2 linked regions of the Solanum lycopersicum genome follow. The protein of the gene in region 2 interacts with the protein of the main gene of each other region in a pairwise test. Links are inferred from orthologs where the notes say so. Each region holds a gene or a part of one and is shown on either strand. Other genes may lie near its edges.

Region 1 (3,996 bases), on a different chromosome or scaffold from region 2:
AAATAAAATGGAAATAAGTATAATGAAAATAAAATCGGATTCCAATCGATTTCACCATTCATATGTTACATTTCATCATAAAAGGTATCAAATAACTCGACTTTAATAAAAAAAAAATATTGTGATCTAGGTTTGTTATTGGATAGGGTAGGCTAGGGAAGCCCAACCTTATGGGCTGGCCCAATATCGATCCAATCACCTTGGGCTACAAGCCCGCTATTAAGTTCGATCTTTCAATCATAGATAATTATCTAATAGACATTTTAATTTACGATAAAATTAGTTAAAAAAAATTTATTATCTAATAATCTTAATATTTATAATCAAGTTTAATGGACAAATATTTTGAAGCCAAAAAAAAAAAAAAGCATTGATCTATTAAGATGTAGAAACAATTAACTTTTAATACAATACCACATAAGCTATATATTACCATGGACCTAATTAATATGGTCACTCAATTAATAGAAATATTAATACAACTAAAACATGTCAGAAATTTATCAAAACGTAACTTAGTAAAAGATGATCAATTGGGGAAGAATGCTTCATCTTTCCTCATAATTCTTAGCCTCTTCACTCGATCTGCAAATTCGCTGTATGAATAATAAGAATTTAAGTTTTATGTATTAACGATATTAAAAATATTTAAATGATAATGTTATTTATAAAGTATGATAAATCTATACGGTGATAACATTAATTTAAATTTTATAAAATGATAACAAACATGTTATCACAAGTCAAATCATGTAAACTCAAGTTAAGGGGTTTAATTTAATCCCTTTACCCCATATTTCTCACGGATCATTTTGGATTAGTCATCTAGACCTAGTTTGAATAAAATCTGACTCATGTCAATATAGACAAATGAATGAATCATTAGTTCGATTGAACTTAAACTATTCAGACAAATATATTTGTATAAGTTAATTTTATCGTTCAATTATTAATTTGATTGAACGTCGACTACGACAAATCATATTTTTATAGATTAATTTAATTGTCCCTACCTAATAATATCAAAAAATACTTTTTGATATTAAAAAAAATACTCACTTCCATGGAACATCACCAACAATCCTCCATTGGTCATTCCTATCTTTGTAAAATAATGAGAACTCTGAACCATCTTGGAATAGCCTTAGCCCATCCATATTTTGTTTACCTTTACACCATTTATAAAAGAAAAAAAAAACAAATTATGAGGTAATTAAATATATCATTAAAAAAACGAAGAATTCACCTGCTCATTTATTAATTCAGTTTTGACATGTTCAGTTCAAATTCAGTGCAATTCGCTTATTTGACATCGCGACCTACCTATAACTACATTAAAAATGACCTAATGATAGTGTAATGATAAATGATAATTTTGATAGGTTGGAACATACCAAACATGTCTTCAAGTTGTGTTGCAATGCTAGAATAGCTTGAATGTTCAAGAAGACAAATTTTTCTTCCAACAATAACTCCATCCATATTAACCTTCACATATTCCCATCTCTCTTTGCTTTGAATCCCTTCACTTTCATCATCATAATTATTAAAATTTGTAGGATATTCACTTCTTGAATTTTTGCTTAATTGTGGATGCAAATGTTGCCAATCTATCAACTCATCATAGCCACCTGCATAAAGTACTTAACAATTAAGTCCTAATTAAGTTGTTCGGACTCTCTAAAAATGTTATCGAAGCTATATCATATCATCAAATAATGTGCTTTTTATGAAGGGTTCGATGCACATCCACAATGACTTTTTTAAATAGTCCGAACAATATAGATTAAATCCATTATATATTAGTTTCACTAATATCAATGAATTTTAACAAAACATTTTCAACTTCCCAATAGCTTGGTCAAAACACTCTTTAAACTTTTCATGTCACTTCTATAACTATATATATATATACATACATAAGAATAAGAATGATTCATAAAAATAACATCAAATATTAAATTGTTTCCAAATTAAAAATATGCTCATCAATCTTATAACATCAGTATACAATGATTAAGAAAAAGACTTGGGATATTTCACCCTTAACCAGAGACTCGAGGTATGAAGAAGTCTGGTAGAATTCTTAAATAGGTCTTATATAATGCAAATCTGAATTAATCGAATCATAATACAGATACCAAATATCGAATGGACCAAAGAGTTGATTGAAGAATAGTCTTGAGAAGTAAAAGATGGGAACATAAACATACCATGAGTAGATGGATAATAGGCCTCAGGCTGCAAAGCTCTAAGACTTAGTCCCAAATCAATAAAATTACCATTCTCTTTATTATTGGTTTGATAATAAACAGAAGGAAGAGTTGTTGCATGGTTTAGAAGATATTCAGAAGAATTTGAATCCATATTTGACTCTTTCACAAAATAAATATTTTTGCTGTGTCAATGTAGAGATAAATAGAAGCAAGATATGTATATGATTGAAATAAATTAAAGAGACATATAAGCTCTATATAGTAGTACTAGTTGTTTAGTGGCAAATTCAGAATTTAAACGTTTGAAGAAAAAAAGTGAGGGGAGTCTTGAAAAAATGGTAATAAATTTATCACCTATAAATTATGAGTTTGAACGGTAAATCGATTATTGATGTTTGAGTCTGAATACATAGACGGTCTACATCACACTTTATTGGAGTGATGCAACTAGCCTTTTCGATAACCCTATGTGAACACATTATATTTCGTGCACCAAAATATCCCTTTTTATTTGTGTACAAAATGAAGGAAAAAAACAATAATTAAAGCAATGAATTCAGTTGAAGTCACGTAACACATCACATTCTCCCTTGTACTTTTCATGTCCATGCAAAACAAAACACACTTCTTGCAAGAATAGAAAGAAATCTAGCTATATGCTTGAAAAAAAGAGACATATAATTAAGTTCTGTATAATATATAATATAGTACTATTCAGTGATAAATTCAAAATTTAAATATATCAAATTCAAAATAAGTTTATACCTTTTATATATATCCATTCTTTTCATATATATATATATATATATATATATATATAGTTCGAAAAAGAAATATTTAAAGCAACAATAGAATTATTGCTAGCGTCAAAGTATATTGTGCACGATTTCATATTCCTTGAGGGGAGGCCCTTCCCCGGACTCGTGTTTTGTATTTTAAACTATCCTTTTTTTACGTATAAAATTTAAGTGAGAGAAAAAAATAGATTGAATTGAACTCACAGAACGTATATTCTAATATTTTTCATGTCCATGCAAAACAAAACACACTTGTTGTAAGAAAAGAAATAAATCTATCTAGGTTAAGAAAAATGCAAACATGGATGGTGGACATAGAAATAAAAGGAATTTATTTCCCATAATCAATCATTGTAGTGTTAGTTAATTTTGTATTATTATTTTTTAATTTACTGACATTTATAACATGGAAAATCTCAATGGATAACAGAAAAAAAAACAAGATATGGGCACAAAAAATCCAACAAAAGTAGGGTTCATATGTTGTATACTTCCAACATTACAAGGATCTTTGCAATATGTTCTTCTTCATACCTTTAAATCTTGTATTTCACACTAAAAAATTTTGCTCTATCGAGCCGGATTTAAAATTTAAATTATATTTGAGTTATTTAAGTTGCACGTTGAATCTACTTATCAGGTGGAACTAATATTTTTTTTATTTTTCATCGAAAAATTATACTTATACATATGGGTCAATTTTTTTTAATGTATATATATTATTGGGCAACTTTCACATATAGCAAACAAAAAATTCATATTTGTATGTTATAGCAAAGTTTTCATAATTGCGCTCCATAGCAAATATATAACCGTATAATTTGCTATACATGTACAACTGTATAATTCGCTGGCCTATTTCACTGCAATTGTATAATGCGCAATTGTATAATTCGCTGCAATATGTGTATAAAATTTGTTTTGCATACAATTGAATCGAAGTAAAATGTTTGTATATTGTATAATTATAAGTGTATAGGAAG
Region 2 (2,520 bases):
ATATTTATAAATATTATGTCTATTTTTATGAAATAAAAAAATTATTTTTGATAGTTCCTCGAAGTTAGATTAATTTGTTCCTTTTGATTTAAAAAAAAAAGTTAAAAAGGAACAAAGTTCACATTAATATAAGTATTTAAAGGAGACAAAAGTAGGTGAGAAATGAATGTCTTTACTCTATTTGCTTCTAGACCATTCATTTATTTCCACACATAGTTCCTGGTCATTTTTCCAATATGTGATTGATCATTAAAATAGAGAATTAAATATTGACATGCCAAGTACTATGGACAATAAGATATTAGAATGTTAATACTAAGATGCAAACATGTCACATATAAATGAAAACATATGACCAAAACATAGTTGCTCTTAGTTTCCTAATTGAAACATTTAACATTTTAAATGAAGTTACACCTTGCTAAATAAAAATCACAAAATATAACATAGTATGAATGTAAATGTAGTTGATTCATGAAAAAGAATCAAACTCAATCACAAGGATCGACTCTTATCTGATGAGAAGATCATACAATTCAACAATAAAGCATGCAACGATAGGGCATCGTGGTTGTGTGGGGGGGGGGGGGGGGGGGGAGGCTCACATATTCATGTCCTTTCAGAGTAAAAACACCAACAACAGCACCACAGACTGTTAAAGAAAGCACATTGAATGTTTTCAACACAAAGAGCAACTCAAAATATCCATACAGAAACAAACATAATATTTTCACTGATAGTGTTCCTTAGTACTAGCAGTGAAGCAGTCGTTACGAAAAACAAAAGAACGAGAAAAGTACTTATACACACAGAGGCTATGCAAAGATGCTAAGAGGTCCTGCCTGGTTTGATGAATCTAGACCACGTTCAGCAGTTGCGAGACCAGTTAACCATTTCCTGATATACAAGGTTAAAAGAAATCAAAAGGTGGCAAATACGGAACATTTATTTTGAAAATTATCATACTTTCCGGTTTTAAGGACTTAGCTATCAAGGAAGAGTATGGTTGACAATTACCTTTTAATATTGCTGCTTGAGTTCATCAGAATTGTCAATCTTTTTGCACTCTTAACAAAGTCACTGCAAAATTAAACAAGTCCGAGAGAAAGGTTCATTAAACTTTAAATAAACAATGTGTGCTTCACACACGCACGTATACACGACCATTTTCACTGGAAAAATAATCAAAAGCAGAAGGTACTGGAAAAAACAAGGCACCTGAATGGTTCATCTCCGGTGTGTTTAACAGCACCTGTTGCATCATGATAGAGCACACGGGTCAGCATATCTGGTCTTTCAAGTCCAAACATGTTTGCAAGTCTTTTGTACAGTTCTTCATATGATCCCATAACTGACAGATCAAGTGTACGGCCAACATCTTCTGACTCGAGGAATACTTTGCAGTGACCAGTATTGAGTACACCAAGTTCAGCTGCATGATAACCTCGATTCCAGAAAAATGTTGCACTTGATAGATTGTCTTGAATGCTGCCTTTCTGCTCAGAAGGATGTTTTTCGTTGATCGGTTGTATCCTGCCTAAGTCTTTCCCTGTTTGGACTACTTGTGGAGCACTGACAGAACATCCGTTAGAGATTTGTTGCTCAGTCAGAATTGGCTGACCGAAGAGTAAGAACCGAGGTGTATTCACACTATCATTTTTGTCCAATGTCTTACTTGAAGTACCCATTGTAAGCAAACAAGAGATGTTATCATTTCTGTCATTTTGGCACTTATTGATGACATTAGGAAGTTGTGAGTTGGCTGCAACGCGCTGGAAACTTGGTGGTAACAGTCCTGACGGTAATTTGTTGCTAAGGTGAAGATCCAATAAAGGTACTCCAAATTGAGCATGCCTGGCTCCCTGTATGCCTGCAGTGATGTTGTCAGATAAACAACAGAAAGGACTGCTGGACCTGAGGGGGTTGCCTGAAAAAGATGGTAACTGAAACTGGCTGTCAAGTGAGAAATCTGGTGGTAGACGCAGCTTTTTTCTTGGCGGTGAGAAGGGCGAGAGGTGAATGACTGGCATATTTGAGACCAATTCGACAAGCCATGGGCTGACATGTTTTACGTTTTGCAATAAATCAGGTTCATCCCATGCCACCTGCAGTACATGGAGAAAAGTTTTACCACCCTAAACTTAGACTAAAAGGTGAGCAGAGCCGCAACTGCATATTGCATTTTTATATCTTGAGGGCATCAAAGTAGTTGTATGAAAGAAAAAATGTAACATCTATTTTATGCCATAGTTTGCCAATGAAATACCGAGTCATTTCTTCTGAAGTTCCCAATATGACACAAGATGAAGAGTACATCTCTTGGACAGATCCCAAAAACTTATAACCCTTATTCCCAAGAAAACAATGATGGACAGAGAAAGAAAGTAAACCCTTGAAAATTATAGAGAAACAAGAAAAAGGTGGACTATTTATCGAATGACCTTGCAATAGAAGGAAATGTGTTTATCTACACTTCATAATCATGAAAAAGGAAACATCAGATTTTTCCTGTTAGTGGGC

Evidence for each region.
Region 1: the proteins of ARF10A (region 2) and IAA32 interact in a two-hybrid assay, tested with the Arabidopsis thaliana proteins (2 studies listed by BioGRID). The link is inferred for Solanum lycopersicum from reciprocal best matches to the Arabidopsis thaliana genes ARF10 and IAA32.

Annotation. Positions count from the first base shown.
Region 1 is NC_090804.1:3,347,177-3,351,172, reverse strand, and holds IAA32 (auxin-responsive protein IAA32), read right to left. Parts: upstream 2,368-3,996; coding exon 2,214-2,367; intron 1,632-2,213; coding exon 1,395-1,631; intron 1,169-1,394; coding exon 1,060-1,168; intron 597-1,059; coding exon 530-596; downstream 1-529. UniProt on the Arabidopsis thaliana protein: Aux/IAA proteins are short-lived transcriptional factors that function as repressors of early auxin response genes at low auxin concentrations.
Region 2 is NC_090810.1:59,526,400-59,528,919, forward strand, and holds the end of ARF10A (auxin response factor 10A), read right to left. Parts: intron 2,106-2,520; coding exon 1,219-2,105; intron 1,081-1,218; coding exon 1,018-1,080; intron 898-1,017; coding exon 816-897; 3' UTR 656-815; downstream 1-655. UniProt on the Arabidopsis thaliana protein: Auxin response factors (ARFs) are transcriptional factors that bind specifically to the DNA sequence 5'-TGTCTC-3' found in the auxin-responsive promoter elements (AuxREs). Could act as transcriptional activator or repressor.